Daphnia pulex: one gene and its partners. The protein of the gene in region 6 purifies or fractionates together with the protein of the main gene of each other region. This does not show direct contact. Links are inferred from orthologs where the notes say so. Each region holds a gene or a part of one and is shown on either strand. Other genes may lie near its edges. The genes, in order: F-box DNA helicase 1-like, protein prenyltransferase alpha subunit repeat-containing protein 1-like, YY1-associated factor 2-like, E3 ubiquitin-protein ligase MYCBP2-like, F-box/WD repeat-containing protein 5-like, S-phase kinase-associated protein 1-like and F-box only protein 9-like.

Region 1 (4,039 bases), on a different chromosome or scaffold from region 6:
CATCGGAAATGTAGACATGAGATTTTCGAATCGCATCGACATACGTCTCCGTTTTACTTTTCGCCCAGGTCACTTGAGCTATTCTCGCTCCCCACTCGTGGTCCATCGTGGCTTCTACGTATTTGGTGAAACTGGTGAAGTTTTCAAATAACTTCCGATTACGTAGAAAGGGACTGGTAATTTTGTCGTAGGCTGCAAAAAATAAGTTTGATATTCATTCAGCATAATTTAGCATTTTTAAGATTGAAACTACCTCCTCTCCAAAGATAATAAACGTCCATTATAAGGTCCAATCCCATGTTCTTAATTCCCTAAAAAATGAAATTTTCTTTCATTATTTACATCTCACAAACTTGAAAATAAGTTGATGTTACTCCGGCAAAAGCGATTTTAGGCTTCTGGGAACTGCTACCAAATTCACAACCAATAACTTCCACGACTTTCTTGAAAAGTGCCAGGTTGGTCCTAGCCAGGTAGCAAATCTTGCCGTTAGTTTGCAGTTGGTGGTTTAGTTGATCATTGGCATCGCTGAGCGATACCAGTGCATCGTGCACATCAATGCCTACCAAGCATTTATCATTGACATTATTCAAGACGGATAGACAGGAGTTGGCCATGAAACCAATTTCTGGTCCAAATCGGAATGACTAAGAAGAAGAAAAAAGTTAGACAATATAGCTATAGAGATTTGTTTCATGAAGTTACTTGAGTCAAGTAAAACGTGTGGGTAGCAGGGACTTTATTCAGTGCATTCACGGCATATCCTGGATTGAAGAAAGAAACTTATTAGGCAACCTCAAATAAATAAACGTTGAGTTTATGCTATTCTTACGCCAACGATAGATCTGCTGATGTGGATCTCCGACGATAATGCGTTTGCCTATGTTGCTGAGAAATATATCGAGCATGGCTCCGTTCAAATCTTGGCCTTCATCCACCATCACACAGTGAACTTTTTCAGTTTCGAATAAATTCGGTTTTTCCAACTGCCAAAGTTTGAGGAATGCATCACACGGCAATTTCAGACGCCTATCGTTTGGATTCTTAATGACAGACCAGACTTTTTGGGCGTCGGCCGCTAATTTCTAAAAAGAGGCAATTAATGGAATAACAGGTGTTTTTTAGAGAAGCAATAAACAGAGATTAATTAGCTGAATCTCACCTGTCGTTCATCGAGGGTCAGAATTCTGTCTTCAACAACATTTTCTCCTGTGGCATTATCTTCAGATGACGATTTGCTTCTGATTTTGGTGGGAGCATGTTCAGGAGTTATTGTATCATCAGCCGAACCCCAAAACCGATTAAGGGTGTCAAGAACCAGTTTCTCTCGTTGATATCTTTTTAGTCCTCGCCGATCCTTTTCAAGTATATGGCTTTTAACTAAACTCGTTGGGAAAATGTTACCCGTTTCTTTATTCTTCATCAAGCCAGTAGCAATGATGTGGTTACGAGCCAACTTATGAATCGTCGTGCATTTTACGTTTTTCGGAAATTTTCCGCCGGCTTCATCGGACACTGCTCTATTGAACACAATAAGCAGAAATTCGGTTTCTGGATTATTTTCGGTAAAACGTAGCAAAGTAGTAGTTTTCCCGCTTCCAGCAAACGCCACGATCTTGATTAACTAAAACAAACATGAAAAGAAATTCAAAGTTTTAATTTTTAGAAAATCTCTATAATTAATTTAAGCAATTTACATCATCTTTTTGGATGCGATGATTTACAATACGCGATTGTTCGTGTGTCAATGGAGGAGGTGAAGACTTTTGCTGGCTTGATGACTGGTTTGACACTTGACTAATAGGGGCACCCGTCCAGCGATTCTCAAACAAGTTGAGGGCATATATCAAATTATAATGCAACCTTTGAGATAAGTAAAATAACTTGTGATTATAAGAACAAAGCACAAATACACATTAAAGAATGCATACTTAGCTGGAATTCCAAACTTTCTGTGGAAGTAGAGAAACAAAGTGCATAAACAGTAAAATTTCTCCATTACCTCCTATATGCAAGGAATATGTGTTAGAGGAGGCAAAACAGGTTAAATTAATGATGGAAGATTGAATTTACCATTGTCGTGAAATCACTTTCAGAATGCGTCAATAAATCAAACAATCTATACATTTCCCATGTATCATTTGAGAAGATGCAAATCATAGCAGTAATCCCCCAGAGTGAAGTAGTTTTATACTGCTCAACCACTAATCTTTCAGCTAAACTGAAGCGGGTATGACTTTTCAAATACCTCATGGTATTCACAGGAGACCCAGTGAACTCCAAAAAATAGCTAAAACAGAGTTATTTATACTTAACAATATAAAACTTTTGGTAAATATGTCTTACAAAATCAAACCACGGAGACAGTTTTGCACTCCCGTAATGTTGTATGAATCACAGAGTTGGTCCAGGAAAGCAGTAGATTCCTCAACATTCAAGCTGTATGAAAGATAAAGTTTTTTCCAAGGTATAAACTGAAATAGGAGAACAAAAGTATGTCAATGTTCTATTGTTTAAAGAGTGGTTTCAAACAAAAATGAATGCCATATCGGCCATATACTACCCTACCTTCTGTCGACAAATGATTTCCCTCCAATTTTGGCACACAAGCACACATGACTTATGAAGATCTATAACAGGTATGTGGGCCAAAATATTTTCAAGCACTTGAACAGGAAGATTATTCATTTCAAAATTCGAAAATACTATTTTGTACAGAACTACAACCAGAGTTACAATTTCAACGTGTAGACGGACTCGTAAACGCGTCCGGTGCGTTGTATTTACGTTTTTCAACCAAAACAATAGCACAATCTAGCGTCCATCTAGCGTCCAAAATATGAAGTTTTTTTTAAATATCCAACTCAAACAAGAAAAAACCAGTTAATTAATCAATCAAAGCTAATTTCATTTTGATTCAATTAGTATAGAAATACTGAAATAGATTCATGAGATAAAAAAAATAAACTCGAATAAAAATAAAAGCCCAAAAAAGTGAAACTGATTGTGTCGGTTTTTAGAGAGTTTATTTTTGAATATTCTTCTCCAAACGTCTTTTTTCCCCAGCTGGGCAGCATTATTAAAGAGAAAGGTTCATACAAATGCATTATTTCATTTTGTTTATTCAGGAGAGTTACAGAAGCGGAAAAAACTGAACCAACTGACAAACTAGACACTAGATACAATCACGTGATGATGCGATGGGTAACGTTTAATATGATTGATATGGCTTAGATAAAGACCTAGCTGACCAATTAAGGATCTAATTTCCATTCCATTATATCAGCGTAGATGGCACTTGGGTTAGCCACAAGGGCACTTGTTTCGTAATATTTGGTCGTAAGCTTTCAAGCTTATTTGATGGTTTAATAAGTAACACTTATCACAATAAGGCGGCAAAGTTCCATGCAAGGTTGATTTTATTTCCCACACTACAAAGTTTATTTTTAATGATTTTGGACTGGGCATTACTTCATAGATTGGACGAGTTGCACTCTTGTATGGAAGGTCAACAAACTTAATAATGCAGTAGATGAAAAGGCATTCTCATCCACACGTTAGTGATTTCCTCTTTCGCTGAAATCAGCTTGAATGATTTGTTTTTTTAAGTACCAACGACACCTCCCATAAATAATAGTGCCAGGATACGTCGTTATCCATAAAGCTAATAGAAACGCAATATGTTACTTCAGCATTATCTTCTCAGAGGTATTGTTGTTTTAAACGTATTGTGAATATTGACGTATGCGGTAGTAACGGGAGCCGATATGTACAAGGCCTTCAAAATGGAGCCATTTGTGTACCTTGTTACTCGATCTTTACAGTTTGATATTTAGCCTAGATTATAGTAAGTGAACTCGGTTGACAGATGGTGGACGTCACATCGTACGAGCCATCACAATTGACGCAATCGAGGTGAGCCGTTCACTCTTTGACCTTCGTCTACTAAACAAATAAGTTGATTGAGTCTACGAGATTTCAAATTTCTAGGCTTACGCTCTTTGCGATAATATCAATATAATAGCTGCACAAAATGTAA
Region 2 (3,036 bases), about 2.6 Mb from region 6:
GGTATAATATTTAAAAAGTTACACAGCTGTCTAATTAATCCACATAATTACTTTTGCTTTGGCATGAGGCGTACAGCCAGTACAGGCAGCAAGTGAAGACATCTACAAAATCAACGGCCGTCAGGCAAGGTCCTCAAACAATTTGGCCCAGTGCTATATGAGGCACTGCATATGCATTATAACACATTGAAGTATGATATGTTTAACTGCAAGTCTGCACAAGCTCCATTGAAGTGCATCCCTCAACTGGAAAAGGGCAGCAAAACCACTGCACAACGAACAGCAACACCAAACTGACCATGTAATCCTACAAAGGAAAGTAACATTAACACATCAATAACATTTTCCGGTGGAAAAGGAAAAAAATATTGATAATAAAATTTGCAAAGAAAAACCAAAAATACATGCAAGTCATGTTTAACTTTGGCTTACAACTGTAAAATGAATGATTCAAACACTTAGTAGTTAGTTAAGCCAATGATTTACTTGAAATGTACACTAAACTAGAAGATGACCGAAGACCAAATTAAGTTTTAAAGAATGAAGTGGATTTCTGTTCCGTAACATGAATAAAAATTTACAACTCTCCACAAATTTACTTAATTTAAAAGAACTTTCCACAAAAGCTCTTATTTAGAAGCATGGAATATGATGTCACTTGTCTCCAACATTAAGAACAACATTGCTAACCTACCTGATTAACTTACAAGTACAATATTACCTTTTCAGATTTCCACTTTTCATCACATTTTTTTGTCTTGCAAATGGCATATGACCCTCTCAAAGAAGCATCTTCATAGTTCATGACAAGGCAGCGATCACGTGGAGAAATGCAGAACATCTTCCGACATGCTTTCACAAGATAAATTGACGTAGATTAGAAAATGGACCTTTCAAAAATTTAAAACTCTCACGATTCACTTACTTGCTTTAGAATTGTTCTCTTTCGATTCAGCTTGGTCGAATGGCGTGGATATTTATATCTCATCATCTTTAAAATGTAAAAGCGAAAAACAGTAAAACACCGTCATGAAGCTGCAACACGATTCCGTCCGCTGTCTCAAAGGCAAATGGATGGAGGCATTTGGTTTGGTTTCAATCTAAAGTCTGAAGCCGACGATAACATATCGATAAATAACTAAAAATCGATACTACAAATTGCGATTACCAGAGCGGGCAGAGCTTCTGTTTACTAGCGCCACTTGAACTACTCTGGGCAATAATCGATGATGCAGTCGAAAAAAGAAAAAGAAAAAATTGAGAATTTAACGGCTGTTTTTGACAGATTTTGAAGGATGCAGCGAGATCCTTCCGACTATAAGAAAATGGCTCACGATCCTTACTGTTTAGAAGAAAGGATAATATCAGACCTTCAAGCTGTTATGAAAAAAGATCCCAACTTGTAAGTATAATTTAATGGTTTTTCTGCAACATCCTTTATGGTGATCAACACCAACTGTTTGTAAACACTAGTTTTTATATTCATTATATTTTTGTTGACAGAGATGAGTTTGATGTTGTTCCAGTAACAGAAGCCAAAAATCGATCACCAATCATCCATATTTCTCACAATCTTGGAATTGAAGTTTGGTGTGTAAAGACGGTTTTCATGTACTGCTATGAAAACAGTTTCAAATTGGATCCCATGTGGAAAAAGGAGTATTTGAGATTGGAAAGATACACAAGAGTGGCATTATTGCTTAATCCCAACATAGCTACATTGTGGAACACGAGAAAGAGATTGATTGCCAATCATCTCTTGGATGGCGATTGTGATTTCCTGCTCAGCAAATTAGTACTAAGTCAAAAGCCCAAATGCGTTGAAGCACTTTCTCACAGGCGTTGGCTACTCCAGCAAGTGTCTATAGACCCACAATGGGTGGAGACAGAATTGTCTCTGTGTGATAGGCTCTCCAGTCGCATGAAATGCAACTACCACGCTTGGTCTCACAGACAGTGGGTGTATTCTCACTCCCTCAAGCTGCAAGGCTTCAATCTCAATCTGTGGGCGTCTGAATTCGAGATTTCTGACGTTTGGACAAAGTTTCACTTGTCCGACCATAGCGGTTGGCATTATCGAAAATTCCTCCTTGATCATTTCAGGCAAAATTTAGGCAAAATTGAACAGAACATGGATATCGCCCGGAAGGTATTGGGCGACTCAACCGGTACAGCTACATCTTCCCAGCTCTACATGAACCTGCTGAACGAAGAACTGCAAAAGAACCAAGATTTGATCTTAAGTTTCAACGCCCATGAAACGTTGTGGTACTATCGTCGATTCCTTTTGCAAGCCGGGACAATAGATCATTCAGAGAGTCTCTTCATCGAAAAGTGTTGCAATCCCGCTAAAAGTAATAGCAACTCCGCCAACAATGTCGACGCCATTCAAATGAGATATTTGGAGCATCATCGACGATGGCTGTCTGATTTCTGTTTGTAAAATTTGACTAATGCTGCTGATTTAGGATCCGTTTGTTGTGTATAAAGGTTACTATAATAAAAACCATCATCCAAGACGGTTAAACTATTTAAACAGAGATACGGTTTATTTATTTCGTTCAGCTTGTAATCGTTGTTTCATTACAGTAATTCAGATAAAAAATACCACGCAATCCAGGCTTGAAGGCTTGAAGCTATAAAACTTGGTGAATTGGTATACGTATTAAGTATATACAAATTGAATAGGAGACGAGCCCAACACCTCAAGTGTAAAAAAAAAATAATAATAATAAGAGAATCAAGAAAAGAAGCAGTCAAGAGATCAACTATAATGCTAGTATAAAACTGGGTGGAGGAGAAATAACTTAAAAAAAGGATCATCGTAAAAAGAGAGGAGATTGCGTAGAGTCGAAGGCGATAAAAGACGGTCGCCAGATTACCTTTAATTAAATTACCTCCGCAGTTGCATACAAGAAAGAGGAGAGAAAGCTAACAATAAAAAAGAAATGTGTGTGTGTGTATGTGTGTGTGTGTGTAGGGAGAAGAAAAGGAGGTGCACCGGTTTGTCGTCGTGAAAGTGTGTTGTGTGTTGCA
Region 3 (3,390 bases), about 520 kb from region 6:
TCAAGCTCTATTGAGTGCGCCCAATCCCGATGATCCATTGGCCAATGATGTTGCTGAGTTGTGGAAAGTCAACGAGGTAGAAGCTATTCGTAATGCTCGAGAATGGACCAGAACTTATGCTATGGGAAACATATGAAACCTGGATCTGTGGAAGGAAAAAGAGTAAAATTGTCAATCCGTTACCGAGAAATTGTGTTTGAATTTAGATTATTTTGCTTTCTTTTGTTCCTCGTCCATCAGCCTTTGTCGACTGATTCCCCTCCCTTCAATTGGTTGAACTGTCCCCGATGGTGATCAGCCAAAAAACTACATTTTGCTCGTTCTTATATCCCAATCTTCTTTTGTTTGCTCGTCAAAAGTTCTATCGACGGTTCATTCCAATTCACGCGTCGTTAAAATGATCGTCGATAGCCTACACTTTTTACCGTTTAGTACCACGAGTACCTCAAAAGGATACTAAAGAATAATAAAAATGCCGTCACCCGTGGAAGTCTAGAGTATCAAATTGTACAGCTGTGTATTTACTTGTCGTGGATGAGGAGGGTGAAATTATAAAGACGGATGAGAGCGCACATTTATCACGAAACGAAAACCATCCACTCGACAGACATAATCAATTTTTTACCAAATCTTCCCCGACCTCTTCGCACCGTTCAGATGAGGTAGGTTCAAACCGAAAAAGGGAAGCGAATATTGGTACTGAGATCCGATCAGAAACAGGAATTCCCAACACTCAAAAATAATCTCCAACATTATGGAATTTCGTGGTTACAAAAAAAAAAAAGGGAAAAACTTTGAATCCAGAATAGTTATAGACAACTGCCTCTTGGTTTTTCATGTATAGTTTTCGGTTTGGACGTCTGTCGCTCCAGTTCTATCTCACTGAAATTCGGTTGGGACCAAATTATAGCCTTTATAGATATTTAAAAATTATATACTTCTTGGCAGTTGAGAAAAGATCGGTATGGGGTCAATTGGGTGCGCAAACAAATACAGTTCAAATAAAATACCTCGAGATGCTAAATAATAATAAAAAAATGAATCACGAGCAACGACTTTAGTCAGTCTGAATGTTCTTGATCTGCAGGGGAAAGATCGTTGCCGTGATTGCTGGCACTACTGCTAGAACTACTGGTCGTGTGTCCAGCATCCAGATCAAGGTTACTGGGAGATGTTGACTTGCTGCTAATTTTTGGCCGAAACTCAGTAATGACTACTGTCACATTGTTCACTGTCACTTCTTTGTGCATAGCAGTGCTTCTGTCAACATTTTTCAACCTATTTTAAACAAACAATTAGCAAGTCACACTGAAGGATAGATATCAAATTTTGTTTTAACAATTTTATTAAAACATACCTTGGTCTGGCTTTACTGTTCCTGGTGGGGTTTCCATCTGATGATTTCCTCTCAGATTTATCTCTTTCTTTAGATTCCTTCTCTTTTCTATTTTTGTTAGCTAAGGAAGGATTGAACACTTGAGGTACCAACTGAGGATTGAGCCTTGGTTTCCTGAAAACGTGCAAGTTTTGTCACATCTGTTAAATGTTTAGAAATGGTAATATTGCTAAGGAAAAATTACCTGGTTGAGGTTCCTTTTCTTACATCACACATTGAACATTTAAATGCCTCTGCATTATTTCTGTAGGTACCTATGTAAATAATACAATGTTCGTCACCATTTGTCAACATCTTTTGTTTTCATATTGCGCTTTGTCAACTTACAGACACTGCAGTCCCAGTAATTTTCTTCAATTTGCTTGCTACTCCGCTTCGCCCTTCTTGAAGGTACAGAAACCCCCATTAATATGATTGAAATACTTATAACTAGCATAATTCATAGTTACAAAAATAAATAAAAACAAGAATATGGTCGGTCAAGGCTACACAATAGGTGTACGATTGTCCCAAGTCCTTCCCTCAAAATCGAAAGAAAATAAATGGATAAATTTACCTTGCATTTGGACTGCCTTTCTTTGAATCCATGATCAAAACGATGTGAATCAATCAAAATAATTCAACTACTCGCAAACTTCGAATTAAAATGTAGGAATGGCATTACAAAATACGTTATTAATACGCGTTATTCTGTGCTTTTCGGCTACAAACAAGATATCGATTATCGTGTGATCGATACGGAAACTTTGACATTATTTTCAAAACAAAACATTGTGATTTGGAAAGAATTTCTTTTTATCAAATGCTTTACACTATATAATAAATATTATGGGGTGCGGATTGAACACTTTTTCCAAAAAAACTTTTCAAAAATCGATTACCATATTTGATTTAAAAACAAATTGATAATCGTTTTGAATATTGAAATCAAGTTGAAAATAAATTCAAAAATTGAAAACGTTTTGAAAATGAATTCATAAATTGAAAATGATTTTGATAAATGAAAATGATTTTGAAAAATGTAAATGATTTCGAAAAACTAAAATGAATTTGAAAAACTAATATGATTTCGAAAAATGAAAACGAATTTGAAAAATGAAAATGAACTTGAAAAATGAAAATGAACTTGAATATCCATACAATTTCGGGAGTGCGATATGACACCACCCTACTCTATCCCCAGCTCTCTCCGGATGCTATAGCCACCCCGAGACAACCGACTAGCCATTGATGGCTATGTCGCTGATTCCAGCCAGCAAGGCCGTCAGCGATACTGTCAGCCCTTGCCGGGCGGTGCTGGCCACCGCTGCCGCCACAACGGCCGCCGCTAAAGTCTCTCTCGACCGCAGGCCGAGTATTACCCTACACAAAAATAGATTACACGATCCAACGTGAAAAGTTTCATGTTCCTGCAGTAAATGACACACAGCCTACCCAGCAACGATGAAGACGCGTGAAGACGGAACGGCCGAATGGGTGGCTTTCACCTGAGAAAAGTTCCAGTCACGCCTCGGTATGACGTTCTCGCGAAGTTCTCGTCATTCCACTAACTGCCAATTGCCCGGAAAGAAGTGTTCTGGTACGTTTCGCTGGATAGGCCTATGCGTCCTGTACTGCTGCGATACTCTGCCGTTCAATCCGACGAGAAGAAGAAGGCGGACACGCGACACGCCGTCTTGCTGACGTGGATCCTCATGTTGGTGCTGGCCCTGCTGGAAATTATCCGCTATCTAAGCGGATTGGGGAGCTGGACTTCTCTATTGTCTCTACGTCTTTGCCATGTGGTCCACTTGCGCCGGAAGTGATATACAATTGGGCCATTTCCAAGGAAGAGCTCATTGGAAGGATGGCTCTGTCTCAGCTGCAGCGACGGATTGAACACCAAAAATTGGCGCAACGTCTATCTTTTCTACCATCATGGAGGCAGCGGACATGGCGGTGGAGGCCAAAGAAGAGGATCCAAATGGTCATGTTGCTCATGTCCGTTTCAACAG
Region 4 (4,149 bases), about 210 kb from region 6:
TACCATGGCCGAACTTCCATTATTGCAAGCAATATCAACAACCACTTTCCCTTCAATGGATGAAAAACGTTTCGGTCGACTTGATTTCTGCTGCCTTCGATGCTTGGCTAATAATAATGACAATCGTTAAAATTTTCATATTGTAAGGGGGGAAATCACAAATTTACTCAAATCGCCGTCTTCTCCTCTTTTGGCCAACCCGGCAAAGAATGCAGTCCCGTCTGCACCCAAGAAAACAGCATGCAAGCCGTCATGTCCCGTGGCACAGCGAACAATCGACGGGCTTTTTGGAAGAGGAAGTTCATACCAGCGATTTGATGTCTGCTCTTGGTTATGGACCAACTCTCCAACCGTCTTCAACCCTAGAGAGGAAGCTTTCCCTTGGTAAGAAACCTAAGAAAAAAAAGTTTACTTTGTGCATACGCACAGCTATAATGACGAGATGAGGATAGTAGTACTTTTCCTGAAGAGGAAACCATCAGCATAAATTCCTTTCCAGCCACTATGCTGGTAAATCCTTCGTCAGCATTGAAATTAATTTGCCGTAGGTCGGTGTTTTCATCATTTATTGAAGCTCCTACAATGTATAGACTCTGAAGAGCCAATCTCAATCTACTCTCTCCAAATGAAAATAGCTCCCCTTTGTTGATTTCGAATAGAGTTGCATGGAGTTCGTCCTAATAAATTGTTTCGAAGCAGAATGTTACGAAACAAAATTTCTTTTTAGTATTGAAATGAATTTACTTCGTCTGTTTTGAAAACGCTTCCGAGACGGTTTCCATCTGAAAATAAAGACGAGTTTTTGCCGATTGAATCTTGCAGATTAATGCAATCTTTCAATGCCAATGTTTCGTTATCGACTATGTGAAGGTTTCGATCTTCCTTGCTGTAAGTATGAAGAAATAATTGTCCCTAAAATTTAAAAAAAAAAAAAAATATTATTGTGTCCACACTTCCCTTGTGATATAAGATAAATCAAATACATTGAAGAAAAGCAAAGTGCCCTTCTTGGGCACGTTTTTTTTGTTGGATGCGTACAATCGACCACTGACAGTACTACCAAGTCCTGATCCAATTTTGTAAAGTCCACAGGACGATAACAAGAAAATAAATGGCCCGTCACAAGCAATGGAGTTTTCAATCAAATCTTTGCCTGTTAAACAACAAAAAGAGTCGGTCATTATTATCGTGTGTAAATTTATTAGAATAATAATTACGTACCTAAATTCACAGAGAAGCATGTAACAAGTGTCTTCTGCTGGATTCCCTGTGTAAACCAGTCTGGTACATGAGAAGTTCCAATCACGGTGGACCGAACTCCTTTTTGAAGAGTCAGCATTATGTTGGGGAGCTATAAATAAAAAAGCACTCTTTTATCACGAAATTTAAATAAACTTGCTACAAAATTACTAACCACAATTATTTGAGCAGCCAACGGACGGGCAACTGTGATGAGAGCGTCGAGGGCTTGTAAAATTCGCGGAGTTACACCCCAAGCGATGACTAAACTAAGAAGACAAGACGAAGCCAAAGATGACAAGCTTTCTCCCACCTCTTGTGTTTCGATCGTGGAAGTATTCTCAGCATCAGTCATTGTTGACAATTTGAGAAGTAGTTCAAATAAGGGTTCTAGTATGAAAATGAACATGTATCGTCACTTAATTCTAAATTCAACTTCAAAATAGGCAAAGTAGGCATACCAACAACATGACAGGGCTCTGACATCAAGCTTTCTGGAAAGAGATTCTGCAGTATTCCTAAAAGAGCTTTTAGTACTTTGAAGCATAACTGAGGATGTGTCACCTGACTTTCTTGTATCAGATCAAATATGCTTCTCAGACTTATTACTACAACCTACAATTTAAAAAAATTATTGGTAATTTTAATAAATGTAGAAGCAGGAAAAGAATAACAAGTAAACCTGAGGAACTTGGAGAACTCGTTCACTTTTCTGATTTTCATCTGTAACTGGTTCTTCATTTTCTAAATCCAAATTGGAACTAGTGAGGAGTTTGCATAAATTATATCCTTTCTTAGCAGCCACATCTTGTTCTCTAATAATCAGTTTGCGCACAAATGCAAGAGAGGTAAAATATGAAGGATCTGCGTTGATTCCCAATTCAGAAGAAGTTATTGCAGAAACAAACAAGTCCTATATGAAATATAAATAAAGTATTATATTTGTTTAATTTGTTTAATTTTTAATAGCACACCTTGTAACCAGTCAAACATTTGGAATTATTGTTACATCTCCCTTTCCTAAGTGAATTTTCTACAACTTTGTGAAGAATTTTTCCTAGGAAAGATCCACTAGATAGTTCCTCTGAACTTTCCATCTTGCTTATTGTTCAATGGGTCAACAAGACATCTCTCCATCAGTTTTCTCAACTTCCAAAAAATTCTGTAGAAAAGAAGTAAATACTTCAGATTAGGTCATGTCATGAATTCAATCCAAGATTTTAATCATAACTTTTACAATTTAGAGTACAGTAACCCAAATGACCTTTTGACTTCACTGCTAATACTTGAATTCAAGGTTTTATAGGCGAAATCGAAATTTAAAGAGTGGTCAATATCATTTAAAGTATTCACCCTCACTACACTTAAGATTTAAAAAAAAACACACACTGTAATCATATAGGTACGTTTAGACCTTACTTTTTTAATTAACTTTCTTGCCTTTATATCCTAGCACCGCACACCGGCTAGAGACCTTGTCGACTGCTCAAAGTTGAGCTGTTTACTATTGTTGCACGGCCGATAGCATTTCAGTGATATATCCCAACAGTGCACGAATTCCAAGTTTGAGAAAATTTCGAGAGAGAAAAGCTGAACTAGTTTCAGAGCTACTGGTGGTAAAATTATTAACTATATTTTGTTTTTTGTTATATAACTTATCTTTTGGTACAGTAACTGAGTAACTGTACCAAAAGATAAATACTACAGTAAAATATAAAATATTTTTATTGGTATTTATTATTGACGTAATAAGCTAATTCAACGATAGATAACAACTTTGTTCTCCTCCATAGCCAGTCCATAGCCTATTTTTTTAATGACGACAAAATTTGGTTCAGGACAACGCCACTATCCACCAACGAACGCCGAGGAGAGCGCGAAAGATCAAATTATGCTACATAGAATACTTTCAATCTACAGTTACCAATGGATTCGTCAACACCACGCCTGATTTGTCCGACTTTTCCTTTTTTTAGAAAACTTTAATTATTGTCAACTAGACGGGCTTTCCTTTTCCTCTGCAATCAGGGTTTCAATACGAGCAAAGACTTAAGTCTTTCGAGATGGTAGGCAAATGTGGAGAGACAAAAGAAAAAAGACTAGGGAGCTATTCACATCTCACATAATAAGTTTGAAAGCTTGTTTAAACAATTCCGTGATGATCAAGTAAAACAGCAACACGACAGCCAATAAAAATAAGTAATGTAATGTAATGCCCATGCCCACAAATGTAAAATGAGAAACCGTTTCACAAGAGGGTTCAAGCGACGACTCGGGTAAATGAACTCGGTCGCTCAACGTCCAAGTTGAGCACAAAATAACCACATTTTAAGAGACGGGTGACAGCAGCAAACTTCTTACTTATTATTTTGCTCTTTTTCACTTTTTTTTTGTAAAATGGATATCATACGCAAGTGTGCAAGTGCTGAGGAGGTGTAGTTAATTGTAACTTCTAATAGGAAACCAGATAAGAAAAAAAAGGGAGAAAAAGGGGCATGGTGGTCATTTTCAATGTAAGCAGTATGAATGATAAGGAATTAACTTCAATTGGGTTTAGCCAATCGCGCGGATTTCCGAGCAGGCGTAACAACATTAGTGTCTTTTTCATCTTCCTTGTTTCGTTTTCTCGTCTTAACCTCCACCTCCAATTCTTCTTCAGCAGCGGAACTATTAGCAAAAAAAAAATAATCATTTATTGGCATGACTTCAGCTGCGTTCAGTTTTCAATTGACATAATTCTAGTGCAGCAACATACCTTTCCACTTCTTTTTCATTCGTTTCAGGTGCCGGGTTACGAGGTGGCCGTCCACGACGTTTAGGAGGGGATTCAGGTGGTTGTTCCGTTGACTCGGGTTGATCTTCGTTGCCGTTGCTAAAAAAACAGTTGATGAAAAGTTTGAGGATGAGTTA
Region 5 (4,004 bases), on a different chromosome or scaffold from region 6:
TCGAATCATTGAATTGGACTTAAAGAAACAATACAAAGTAAACGCCCATCTCCTATACCTTGCAACGTAATCCTTACTGACGTCCAGAAAGATAAAAAAGCATTCGTCATTAGGCGTGAATGACCGATGAGCCCGTAACAAAGATCCGACCTGAAAGGCAGAAACGTGAAACCATATTAGTTTCCCTCGCGTCATACCTTCTTACTTGGCCAATGGCCATATTTCCAATAGTGTTCCTATACCTGCTTCAATGTAACTAGATCAATTACGTGTATGTCGATCTCTTGGGCGATGGGCGGTGGTTGGAGGGGATTCTCTATAGTGCAACCTTGTGGCCAGGGTCGCACATTGACGTATAAATATCTGAAATCGGATATACGGATTTTAAGAAGTCGATAATAATTATTATGATGAAAACGAGGATCCCAAGTAATACCTGTGGTCTGGAGACAAAGACATTCCAATTATATGTCCATTCAAATCGATGATATGATCAATTGGGTCAAACCGATCGGCTACCGCCTCAAAGTCCTGCCAAACAGGTTCGGGACTGGAGATTTTGGAAATGTAGAAAGAATTAAAATGATCAATTAAACCACGAAACCTGTTCTTACGGAGGAATTCCAAGGGCCAGAGATTCTTCCAAAGCTTGCCGCTCTTGCCTCTGGATAGCCACTCGTTCAGCCAAACTCGGCCCAACGTCGATGCGATTGCAAAAAGTAAACGGAGTGATTCGTTTCAAACCTGAGTAGAAAACGTAATTGTTGAAGGTTCCGGGTTCAAGGAAAACGCTATAAAACAAACCTATTTGATGCGGAGTGTAAGTTCTAGAACCCATAGTGAAAATTAGGAATTTTTCGCGGGGATCCAGCACTTCCTCTGAATCTTCGTCCGTGGCTTCAGATTCTGCACGTTGAGACCGTGCTCCAGTTCCGGAACTGGTAAACGGCGAATCGGATCTACCTGACTGCTCACCGGCTTCGTTATCTTCACTTTTTGAATCGCCCTCTATGTCATCGTCCATTGCGGATGTAGTACTAAACAATTGAAAAAAAAAATGTTTAAAATGAGCTTTAGAAAATTCAGCAATAGTTATTATTACCCTGAAATGGAAACGTCGGGAGAGTTTCGCCGCCAGCACTGAAACTCATCGGTAGTATTGATTGGCCACAAAGATCCTTCAGCTGAAACATAAGGCGAAATATTAAGATGCAACTGAACGCAGAACCCGCAGAATATCTAAAAGATCTTTCTACATGTTTCTTGGAAGGACTCTTTGGCTGAACCGGGATCTACAGTCTTGGTTCCGGCAAGTTCGGGCTGTGAAATTGGATTCCCCGTCTTGTGGCAGCTCTGTACAAAATCAATTAAAAGGGCGCTCTCCACGATTATGCTGCAAGTTACAGCGACTATCAAAAATGAATACTTTATTGGAGGCGCAATCGTCAGACGTGCCAGAGGGTGTCGGCGAGGAAGAAGACGTCTGATGTTGAGGTAAAGAGCGGCAGTTAGCCACCGTGATTGAGCGAATAGAAGAGGCGCTTCGGTTATAAAACTTGAACATACGGTTCATGATTGAAGTGAATTCCGAATCGGACTCTTGTGAAGCTCGATTCAACCAAACGATTGACGTACTAACGAGATGGGCAAGCCAGCGTAAATCACCGGATAGTAGGTAGTTGTCATTGTACCACGTACCAAAAAAATCGTAAGGCTTATTTGACATTCTGCACTGAATCACAAAGTTCTCCTGTGAATCCAAGATAAAATTGATTTAAATTAATTTTTCATCTAATGTATCAAGTAGCAGCTCCCTGCTACGGCACTTACCTCAAGATTGAAAACGGCGATTTCACCCGTATTTGAGTGATTACCAAAATGAACTCCCGATACCAACAGAAGGGTATCTGATTCATTAAATTGACTAAACTGAGTGTTTTTCCAGCTGTACACTTTCATATCATAATAATGTTTGATTCTGGCAGGATAACCAGCATCCCAAAGCTGCACAATAAGAAATATCAAACATCATTCAAGCAATGTACTAGATATACCAGTGTTTGTAATCTTTTAATACCATAACATAGCCATCTTTGGAGCAGGTGGCAAAATATTTGCCATTGTGCGAGAAACTGACATGAAGCACTTGATGTGTATGGCCCTTTAATACCTCAGTTTCTAATATTGGTGTGTGCTGCCACAGTCTCAGATATTCACTGAACCATGAAGTTTTGCCTAAACAAGGATGAGATTTACACATTAGAAGTCATAGATATAACACATTTGATAAATATGAGAGCAATTTTAAAAAATTTGATAAATTCAATAGATATGAGAGAGGAGATGTACCCGGAGCGATTCCAATTTTCGGACTGATGTTCCAGTCTCTTTTAAAGAAAGATTTCCACAATAGTTCATCTCTAGAGACTCTGTACCAAGTCTGGGAAACGGTGGAAAGTTTCAGTATGTCCTTGAAACATCAAGAGAAAGAAATTTAACTTGAAATGATGACTATAAACATGAAGCTCTACATACTTCTGCTTTGAGAAATCGAAATATCTGCAACAAAACGTGATCAGGCAGTTTACTCCAACCATTCTCCATGTCCATTTTAGATTAAATTTAAATCTTTTGTAAAATCATAAACATAAGATTTTCTGTGGAGATTCCAATTCAAGATGTTTCAACAGTTTATTCCGGGCATTTCATGTTGAAACTTTTTTTTGCTTGACGAACTGGAATGATGGATTGGATCTTGGCACAATTCACCATTCCTAGAAATAAAAACAACAATAACAACAAAGCGATAGTTATGGATGGTTGCCGCTAGATGACTCTCGCATCACTTTATTCCTCAAAAATATGCAGTGAAATCCCAAAAAGTGAATTTGACATTATTTGTAGGTCAGTGTATGGTTGACTTTGCAAAAATTGGAATGATATCACTAAAATATAAACTTTACAATTTAGGTTAAAGGAAAATTGCGAATCATTCAAAATGTTGACAAAAATGTTATAGCAGAGCGTGGTTTCGATCCACGGACCTCTGGGTTATGGGCCCAGCACGCTTCCGCTGCGCCACTCTGCTGTCTTGCTGATCACGAATGTTTTTTAAATAAAATGCAAGTGATTTGCAATGCTTGCGAATGTTGAAGGATTGTTTTTTTGTCTCTCTTGCCTACCAATGTTCAACAACAATCGAATAAATGATTCCATAACATTTTGACACAAAATAGCAATTCCTATTCATTCAAAGCCACTGTAATCGATGCGTTACGTCTGAAATGAGAAAAAGAGACCGTTCGATTTTCGCTAGCAGGAACACGAAACATTCAAGTCAATTTTTCTCGGACTCGCCGACATACGTTGCTGAGAGGTCAAGCTACTAACAAGCAAGTCGCGAGTTCATAGGTCATGGACTGGTTGAAAAATCGGGCGACGTCGAGTCTAAAGTTTTTTGTAAAATAGACGCGCTTCTCCGTCAAAGCCACTAGCCAGTTTCGACGAGATCAGCAGCAGCATCAACTATAAGTTCAATCAAGTTTTTGGTTTCTACATATTGATGAAGCCTTCCAGACTGGACGAGAAAGCCAACTTGTGGTCAACCTTGAACATGTAGGAGGATGTAGCTATTGAGCCAATGCTGTGTCGGTGTTGATCCAGTTGTGAGTCTCTTGTGACATCCACCAGCTCCACTTGTTGTTTCGTATTGTTTTACTTTTACTTTTGGGTGTATATATAGTAGACACATGTGTGTGCGTTGGGCCGGAAGACGGAGTAGGCGGAATACGGCTATATAGACGCGCATACATATACAACAAATCCAAGAGAGGAAAAGCGCCGTCGTTATCTTGTATGTGAACTTCTCGGGGAAAAGAAGATAACGATGGACGGTCGTCGCCAGGATTTTTATCTCGACCAAAGTTTTTTTATTTTATTTTTCTTTTTTCGTCTTTTCGGTCAGGTAAAGTTCACTTTGGTTGCAATGAACTTGACAATGGCAT
Region 6 (3,070 bases):
ATCAGCACGCACCAGTGAACATTTTCTTCCGACTTCCCGTGAACAATTATTTCTACGAAGAAAATGCAATCTATGCACATTATAAGAAACACTACATATTATGCATACAAAACGTATGCAGGGAAAATTATAAAATTAATGGTCAAGCCGTCAAGGTATCATGCCTATCATCTACCTATGAAAACCAATGATGGTGTCTAACTTGCAAAGCATTTCTAGTAGCTAAGCCCGGATATAATCCGCGAGTCCCTTTATCTTTTTCTTGATATGCTCATTTTCAGGAGACCATCTAACGAAACAAAATCTAAAAATAATGCAGTGTTCAACACACTGACACACACACACACACACACACACAAAAAAACCAAAACTTGTACATTATAATTGGCAAAACGGGAGGTTGTCTAAAGCACGAGCTGTTTTAAAACATACAGTTAATTCACCAGTGCACTACGGAACTTCGTACAACTTGTTCTTTTGTTTGACTATACACTTAAAACTGCTTTTTAATTTATTGTATTCTTGGCTTGAAAACATGAAGTTGGATACAAAGGTACATGTAACATGTGAAAACAAAATTTCGTCGAGATAATTTACTTTTCTTCGCACCACTCGTTCTCCTTGCGTACTTGCTCTTCCTCACTAGGGGTGAAATCGTTCTTGATGTTGAAGGTCTTGCGAATCTCTTCTGGGGTTTTCCCCTTGATCATGTTTGCAACAGTCTTGCAAGTAACATCCAGCAAGCCTTTAATATCCAGATAATTGGCAGCCTAAAAACAAAAATATGTACATTACATTTCACTAACATTTTTAACTTAAAACAATTGTAGAATGTTTTCATAGGTGTGATATCAGAAAATGAACACTTACCAAGATGAGTTCAAACAGAGTTCCTTGATCTACTTTGAGGAAATCAGCATCCCATGATGAGATATCATCAGTACGTTTTTCCTTATTGTCATCATCCTCTGGTGGTGGGGGGTCATCTTTGTGGTAAGTTGCCCACTGAATTACTTTACGTAGAATAGCAGAATTGACATTGGGTAAAGGAACAACTTCTTCGTCATCTTCATCCATTCCTAAAACCAAAATTGAATTTCAATTGAACGTTACCTTTTTTAAGCATTTGAAAAGAAAATAATGACGCATTTGCCTATAAATATCTTTGTGGTGCAACTTTTGATTTTATTTGTTACATTAACATTAAGCTTATTGAAAAATATTACCTAGATCCTCAAGCATTGTTTTGATTGTTACTGAACACTTGGCAATTTCGACATCAACCTCAAATGTTTCTCCATCGGAACTCTGCAGCTTGATGTTTGGCATTGTGTGAATTGTGTTTGTTCTCTGAAAACTGAAATACACAAAAAAACTTTTTGATAACCAAAAGTCCAGCAGCAAAGAACAATGAATGGATCAAGCCCTCAGGAGAACCAGCACACACATTCCAAACAAAAATAACAGTCAAGAAAATCACATCATTATGGGAATTATCTCAAACATTATGGGTACATTTTCGAGTTTCTAACTCTCTAGTCCGTATTGTAATAATGTTGAGAAAATTAAGCTTGGAGTTCAACAAAAAATTAAGCAAATTACGTACTTTTCTATAAAGGTTGCTCTAGAGCAAATGGCGCTGGTGCTGGTCTGAAAAATGTTCAGTAAAAATGAACCCTCCTCTCCTCCCTGTTTCGCTCTGTGATGGAAAACATCACTGCAACTTTCGCATCGCATAGTATACACTCGGAGGGGAAGGGGCGAAAGTATACCAACAGTCATGTTAAAGCGGTTTTTATGAAAAACGTGTTCTTTTCCAGTTTTCGAGATTTTTGAGTTTTGACTTCTGTGTATTCTACATTTCTTTTTGTTGGCAAATGGCAATATATAAAACCAATTAACTGATTTTTTTCTCTCTCCGGTTTTGCACAATTCGAGATGGCCAAATCCCCAAAATATTTTTTCCAAGCCATGGCGCCATGCGCAGTTTCCCGTAGGGATTCTAGTCACAGTCGAAGGAGGCTCAGTTTCGACACGCCACCGCTGCAATTCAAACTGCAAAATTCAATTGCAGTAATTAGACACTTAAATTTACGTAATTGTGACACCAATCACGCAAATTTTTGTAGGCATTAGATTTAAAAAAGAAATCTCTTTAAAATGGATCACATTTTACGAAGATATAATATATTCATTTTTTAAAACAGCGATTCTAAGTCAAACGGGGCTCAGTTTCGAAACGCCACCGCTGCAATTCAAACTGCAAATTCAAAACGACACTAAACATTAATACAAAATTTACGTAAATGTGTTACTTATCATGAAAATTTTTGTATGAAAGAGATTAAACAAAGAAAGGTCTTCAAAATGGATCACATGAAGATATACTAATAGCTGTATTTTTTACACAGCGATTCAAAGTCGAACGGGCTCACTTTCCCGGCTTGATGTGTGTCAACCCAAAGCTATAGTTTGCAGGCCTAACAAGAAGCGAATTTGGTGGCAGTTTTTACGACTGCCCGGCGGCCTTGTATACATGTAGATCCCCACCAAACGTGAACAGAAAAGCGTCGGGTTTGTTTGTTTACGTTTAAAAGCAAAGTAAGTTTTACCAGTTTTACTACTGGTTTAGACAAACAAATTGGTTTTTTACACATTTTTTGGTATGCCTCAAGTCCATAGATAGTATGTAGAATTTCAATTTGTGAGTGCAATCTACCACAATTGACAAACATTTCTTACTGAAATATTTTCCTTTCCCTTTTTAGATGCCTGGAGAAGATCAAATGGAAGATGAAGCTGAGACTATGACATTCCAGGCCAAGATTGCTCAGCTTATGAGCTTGATTATCAACACCTTCTATAGTTGATCTCCAACTGCTCAGATGCCCTAGACAAGATCCATTATGAATCCCTGACTGACCCAAGCAAGTTGGATAGCGGCAAGGATCTTAAAATCAAGATTGTCCCCAACAAGAATGACTCACTCTCATGGATATGTAAGTTGAGAAATTTGAAAAGTTCCTCCTATTTGAACACGAATTTGACTGTTCTGTTTCTCTTTAGTGGT
Region 7 (4,014 bases), on a different chromosome or scaffold from region 6:
AGAGTCAATTATACCAAGCTTTTATGGTCAAACAGCAGTTTACCTGATTTTTTATGTTGATGACAAGCTGGGGATTTGAGGAGCTGAAACAACTCAGTAGAAATATTAAACAAGCCAAATGGACGCCCCAAAACATAGGGCTACTCATGTCGACTATTAAAATTGTTGGCATCAGGCGTCATACATCTTTGAAAAGAACTTCATTATTATTTTTGGTAAAAAGGGTAAAAAGACTGTATCAAAACAACTTTTGATGTTGATTTGTTTTGGAGAGACAGAGTATGCTATTACGAATTTACGACTTATAGGGCACTAATTTGTGGAAACTGAATAGCGGAAACGGAAAGACGGTAAAGCGCGCATGCGGGGTTAAAGGGGGAAACAATAAAAAAAAACAAAAAAAAACATTTCAAGGTTAAAACAAAAATAGCCAAAGGGAAATTGACTAGAGATTGACAATAATTCCCGATATTATAGACCTGCGTATAAGACTTGATACGTTAAATTGTAATTGCATTTTATTTTTGTAATTCCATAACAATAAACAGGCACAATTAATTGTTAAAATTGTTTGCATCTGATTGAAGCGAACTTCCTTACAGGATTTTTAAAGTGGTTTCTCACTTTGGGCATTATAGGACCTCACACGGCTGAAGATCAAGGGCGGAAAACGGGTAGCGGTTATATCAAAATTGGCAGTCGTGGATTCCTTATTTTGGTAAACAGTCTGAATACTGTAACGATTCCAATGAAGTGCGCAATGAAGTTTCTTCTTATTGATAGTCTTGATTTCCAATTCCTACATTCATCAAAGACGACAGTAGAGAAATAACGATTTAATTGCACCGCTCAATTATAAGGTGTCAGTTAACTTACCAGTTCGAAAATCTGCTCAATCATTGTGCTGCCGTTATTATTTGCTTCGTCATTCCTTCTTCGGTTTCTGTTATCGATTCGTTCAGTTCGTTCTGGAATCCGTTTTCGTTTGAAGATACACGTAACAACGTTTCCATGGAGCGTGTAGAAACCGCGGAAACAAGAAGGATCTTTTCTTTTTAGACGTTTACTGACTACCAAGCTAGGAATATCCGCAGTGGTGGACATTATAGCGGTTCGGTCAGGATAGAAGCGCAAATATCGAAAGTAGTTTACCAAATGCCACGGCTAAATAAAAAAAGAATGAAGAAAAATCACGGTAAGACATTTTCTTTCGGCAATATTTTACCTGATAATTGGTATCTTGAAAACTGTTCTCTCCTTGCCGCACATATGATGTTTTACTTATGTAACAGCCATGAAAATGAAGACGAGGACGATAAATGAACATGTCTCTATAGTTGGTAAAACCAAGAGTTGTAGGACTGGCTGGGCTGTTCCAGACACTGGAGACACAAACAAACATTTTCGTCATTTCCAACAAGCAAAACTATCTATACGGAATAAAAGTATACCTAAGGCACGCGAGTTTCCAAATTTCGGTGTCTCGGGAACAGACGTAGAGACCACGGCTAACCTGGAAACATGATCAAATAAGTGACGCTCCTGAAATTATAGCAAAACAATACTACTTACCAATGAAACTTGTTCTAATGACCGAAGATCCAAGTCAGAAGATACCACCTGAAGAAATTGAAATGTTAATTTTAGCGCTGCACATTTATGTAATGACCATTCATTTAAAAAATACCCATTTGAGAAGGTAAATAATAATTTCACGCGGTAAATCCGATATATGAGTACCCTAAAACAATTTTTTCTGTGAATGTTTGATACGCACAAGTCATTAAAAATGGTTTCAAACCTTTGGTTCATCGTGTGGGGTACAAACTAGACCATCCTGTAGTAATAGCCGTTCAAGCTTAACTAGCAAATCAACCGGAAGTTCATCATCGTCTTCATCATCAGAATTGTTGTTATGAACTTCTTCCTTCAAGTCTTTGTGACTTTTTGGTTCCGAAGTAGTCTCGCTGCCTTCTGTCGCACCCAAGAAAATTTAAACAGTGACAAGAAATTTTCAAATATAAAATTTGATTTTCTAACCTTTGTTCTTGGGATATGTGTATATTCTTTCTTCAATATCAGGGACCAACTGCATTGCTCGTTTGTAAAATTTTATAGCTTCCACAACTTCTCCAGACTTTTCATGTTTTACTCCACGTAGATATAAACTTTTTGCCTAGAGAATTTGGGTAATTGTTTAGTAACATAAATAAGCTAGATTGTGGATATGTTTAGAATGGTACATAGCTATACAAACCTCTTCTTCATCAACAGTTTCTTTACTCCCAGACTCGTGATCCTCATTTTTGGGTTTACTGCTGCTTGTCAGAGATTGCTGCACTGCAATGTTATGTTTAAAGTTTGGTCAACATTCACTAACAATGATAGAGCAAAGTGATAAATTTATACATCTGGCAGCAGAAATTTCAGTCTCCCATTGTCGCCGAAACGATTCTAGTAGTTCCTCGGTTGCTGGATCTTTCTCGGACTCCTGTTTGGCATGACAAAATGAAATCAAAAATATTTTGATTATATAATTGTAAATGTTTCTTATCCAATCAAGCTGTAGCAACCCTACCATTGGGAATGAAAAATAATAAACTCTCTCGGCTGGATATATGGTCAGTCCTACTTTCGGACGATACTTTTTTAACTGAACAGTAAGTCCACATATGCACAAATATACGAAATATTGGTGTAAAAGAAAATGGAAACAATCGAATTGATGTTGACCAAGTTAATACGTCAGTGGCTGCGCGACAAAAATAAAAATTTCGTCTGCTAGTAGCAGAAGCGGTGATGGAACACGCGGCCTATTCAAATTATGGCAAATTAAAGATTGCTTTGCAGACAAACCGAATGGTTCTAATATAAAATAAATCCATAAACTTACTCATGAATGCTGTATGTGGAATCACTATTATACTTGGTTTTCCTTCGGTAAAACTGACTCTAGGAAAGTAACTAGCGAACATGAAATTGTTAAGACAATTTGCAATCAACTGTGTTGTATTTTGAATGTTCCTTTTCACGTTATTGAATAAACAAATGTTTGAATAAGGACTTGAACAGATAAAAAAAAAATTCTTGGTACAAAAAATTAAATTCTTCATTCAACTTGATTTTGATTCAACTTCTTTGAGAGAAACAGATGAGCTAGATGCTCATTAAACAGCAGGGCGGAGGGCCATTTCTTGAATGTCGCACAACAACTTCGGGTGATCTTTTTTCGCCTTTTTCCATCCATCAGTCGCCATAACGTCAACTGGATTAATACGAAAGAAATCGACGGCTTCATTCTTCAAATCATCCACCAGTTGGTGTTCATTGCCGAGTAGAAGCAGCAAATCCATGCAATTGTCGGGAGTCATATGATGGAGCAAATGGACTTCACACTCGGTCTTCAGCTGGTCCAAGAAGTATTTGTCTGCGGCAAAGTAAAGTTGAGTTGCCATTTTCTCCATGGTCTTTGAAGATAAACGGGCAGTGTACACGAAACGAAGCAACTCGTGAAATACATCCGGATTGATGTCTTCAATTTCCACTTGATTGGACAGTTTCTCCTTGGTCGGATGTTCGAACATGGCAGCAAAGACTTTGCTTCTTGACGCCAAAATACTTTTGTGTGCTTGAAATTTTTGAGCACCGACGTTTAGAGTGACGTCAGCGTACTTGATGTTTTCGAACAAATATTCAAAGTGGTCAATCAGCTGATCACTGCAACTAATTGACTGGTCTTGGATTAGATTAGCTTTACCTGCGACAGGTTCTTTTTTCGCGTACGATTCAATCTCGCAGTGGAAGACGAGACTTCCGTTCAATTGCTGACACTCAGATTTTAGGATTGCATCTTTGAGAAAATTCAGATGGATGCTACAATAGCCATTCTTTTGAACACCGTATACTTGCTGGAGAACTTTCTGTCGTTTCCCGTTTAGGATTGATAATTTCATGCGAAAAGGGTCGACAGCCGTGACGCTCTTGAAGTTAGCGAATCCGGGAGTTGTAAGAAAT

The links.
Region 1: the proteins of S-phase kinase-associated protein 1-like (region 6) and F-box DNA helicase 1-like purify together in Homo sapiens (affinity purification with western blotting; 8 studies listed by BioGRID and IntAct, with this or other methods). This does not show direct contact. The link is inferred for Daphnia pulex from reciprocal best matches to the Homo sapiens genes SKP1 and FBH1.
Region 2: the proteins of S-phase kinase-associated protein 1-like (region 6) and protein prenyltransferase alpha subunit repeat-containing protein 1-like purify together in Homo sapiens (co-immunoprecipitation; 3 studies listed by BioGRID and IntAct, with this or other methods). This does not show direct contact. The link is inferred for Daphnia pulex from reciprocal best matches to the Homo sapiens genes SKP1 and PTAR1.
Region 3: the proteins of S-phase kinase-associated protein 1-like (region 6) and YY1-associated factor 2-like purify together in Homo sapiens (affinity purification with mass spectrometry; 3 studies listed by BioGRID and IntAct, with this or other methods). This does not show direct contact. The link is inferred for Daphnia pulex from reciprocal best matches to the Homo sapiens genes SKP1 and YAF2.
Region 4: the proteins of S-phase kinase-associated protein 1-like (region 6) and E3 ubiquitin-protein ligase MYCBP2-like purify together in Homo sapiens (affinity purification with mass spectrometry; 4 studies listed by BioGRID and IntAct, with this or other methods). This does not show direct contact. The link is inferred for Daphnia pulex from reciprocal best matches to the Homo sapiens genes SKP1 and MYCBP2.
Region 5: the proteins of S-phase kinase-associated protein 1-like (region 6) and F-box/WD repeat-containing protein 5-like purify together in Homo sapiens (affinity purification with western blotting; 16 studies listed by BioGRID and IntAct, with this or other methods). This does not show direct contact. The link is inferred for Daphnia pulex from reciprocal best matches to the Homo sapiens genes SKP1 and FBXW5.
Region 7: the proteins of S-phase kinase-associated protein 1-like (region 6) and F-box only protein 9-like purify together in Homo sapiens (co-immunoprecipitation; 9 studies listed by BioGRID and IntAct, with this or other methods). This does not show direct contact. The link is inferred for Daphnia pulex from reciprocal best matches to the Homo sapiens genes SKP1 and FBXO9.

What each region holds. Positions count from the first base shown.
Region 1 is NC_060017.1:4,720,554-4,724,592, forward strand, and holds the start of F-box DNA helicase 1-like, read right to left. Parts: upstream 2,801-4,039; 5' UTR 2,689-2,800; coding exon 2,569-2,688; intron 2,475-2,568; coding exon 2,347-2,474; intron 2,291-2,346; coding exon 2,074-2,290; intron 2,006-2,073; coding exon 1,932-2,005; intron 1,864-1,931; coding exon 1,698-1,863; intron 1,625-1,697; coding exon 1,163-1,624; intron 1,086-1,162; coding exon 833-1,085; intron 765-832; coding exon 706-764; intron 648-705; coding exon 375-647; intron 312-374; coding exon 254-311; intron 193-253; coding exon 1-192. UniProt on the Homo sapiens protein: 3'-5' DNA helicase and substrate-recognition component of the SCF(FBH1) E3 ubiquitin ligase complex that plays a key role in response to stalled/damaged replication forks.
Region 2 is NC_060019.1:9,416,919-9,419,954, forward strand, and holds protein prenyltransferase alpha subunit repeat-containing protein 1-like, read left to right. Parts: upstream 1-1,201; 5' UTR 1,202-1,295; coding exon 1,296-1,402; intron 1,403-1,503; coding exon 1,504-2,443; 3' UTR 2,444-2,536; downstream 2,537-3,036.
Region 3 is NC_060019.1:11,515,374-11,518,763, forward strand, and holds YY1-associated factor 2-like, read right to left. Parts: upstream 2,113-3,390; 5' UTR 1,985-2,112; coding exon 1,953-1,984; intron 1,780-1,952; coding exon 1,724-1,779; intron 1,651-1,723; coding exon 1,581-1,650; intron 1,511-1,580; coding exon 1,358-1,510; intron 1,279-1,357; coding exon 1,062-1,278; 3' UTR 501-1,061; downstream 1-500. Other genes in the region: ubiquitin-conjugating enzyme E2 N, read left to right, coding at 1-136. UniProt on the Homo sapiens protein: Binds to MYC and inhibits MYC-mediated transactivation. Also binds to MYCN and enhances MYCN-dependent transcriptional activation. Increases calpain 2-mediated proteolysis of YY1 in vitro.
Region 4 is NC_060019.1:11,823,075-11,827,223, forward strand, and holds the start of E3 ubiquitin-protein ligase MYCBP2-like, read right to left. Parts: upstream 2,801-4,149; 5' UTR 2,659-2,800; intron 2,402-2,658; 5' UTR 2,337-2,401; coding exon 2,214-2,336; intron 2,153-2,213; coding exon 1,922-2,152; intron 1,855-1,921; coding exon 1,701-1,854; intron 1,630-1,700; coding exon 1,415-1,629; intron 1,352-1,414; coding exon 1,222-1,351; intron 1,154-1,221; coding exon 984-1,153; intron 913-983; coding exon 745-912; intron 678-744; coding exon 459-677; intron 394-458; coding exon 168-393; intron 108-167; coding exon 1-107. Other genes in the region: sister chromatid cohesion protein PDS5 homolog B-B-like, read right to left, coding at 3,783-3,906, 3,995-4,111. UniProt on the Homo sapiens protein: Atypical E3 ubiquitin-protein ligase which specifically mediates ubiquitination of threonine and serine residues on target proteins, instead of ubiquitinating lysine residues.
Region 5 is NC_060022.1:5,214,614-5,218,617, forward strand, and holds the start of F-box/WD repeat-containing protein 5-like, read right to left. Parts: upstream 2,801-4,004; 5' UTR 2,611-2,800; coding exon 2,536-2,610; intron 2,471-2,535; coding exon 2,350-2,470; intron 2,236-2,349; coding exon 2,078-2,235; intron 2,005-2,077; coding exon 1,831-2,004; intron 1,751-1,830; coding exon 1,427-1,750; intron 1,354-1,426; coding exon 1,257-1,353; intron 1,185-1,256; coding exon 1,103-1,184; intron 1,038-1,102; coding exon 805-1,037; intron 745-804; coding exon 615-744; intron 551-614; coding exon 437-550; intron 364-436; coding exon 243-363; intron 151-242; coding exon 59-150; intron 1-58. UniProt on the Homo sapiens protein: Substrate recognition component of both SCF (SKP1-CUL1-F-box protein) and DCX (DDB1-CUL4-X-box) E3 ubiquitin-protein ligase complexes.
Region 6 is NC_060019.1:12,034,505-12,037,574, forward strand, and holds S-phase kinase-associated protein 1-like, read right to left. Parts: upstream 1,765-3,070; 5' UTR 1,738-1,764; coding exon 1,607-1,737; intron 1,358-1,606; coding exon 1,227-1,357; intron 1,080-1,226; coding exon 871-1,079; intron 771-870; coding exon 594-770; 3' UTR 501-593; downstream 1-500. Other genes in the region: heat shock protein 90-2-like, read left to right, coding at 2,992-2,999, 3,067-3,070. UniProt on the Homo sapiens protein: Essential component of the SCF (SKP1-CUL1-F-box protein) ubiquitin ligase complex, which mediates the ubiquitination of proteins involved in cell cycle progression, signal transduction and transcription.
Region 7 is NC_060025.1:1,307,189-1,311,202, forward strand, and holds F-box only protein 9-like, read right to left. Parts: upstream 2,779-4,014; 5' UTR 2,582-2,778; coding exon 2,579-2,581; intron 2,492-2,578; coding exon 2,410-2,491; intron 2,341-2,409; coding exon 2,258-2,340; intron 2,177-2,257; coding exon 2,041-2,176; intron 1,975-2,040; coding exon 1,802-1,974; intron 1,742-1,801; coding exon 1,688-1,741; intron 1,621-1,687; coding exon 1,573-1,620; intron 1,514-1,572; coding exon 1,452-1,513; intron 1,383-1,451; coding exon 1,226-1,382; intron 1,165-1,225; coding exon 877-1,164; intron 800-876; coding exon 608-799; 3' UTR 501-607; downstream 1-500. Other genes in the region: out at first protein-like, read right to left, coding at 44-172; speckle-type POZ protein-like, read right to left, coding at 3,168-4,014.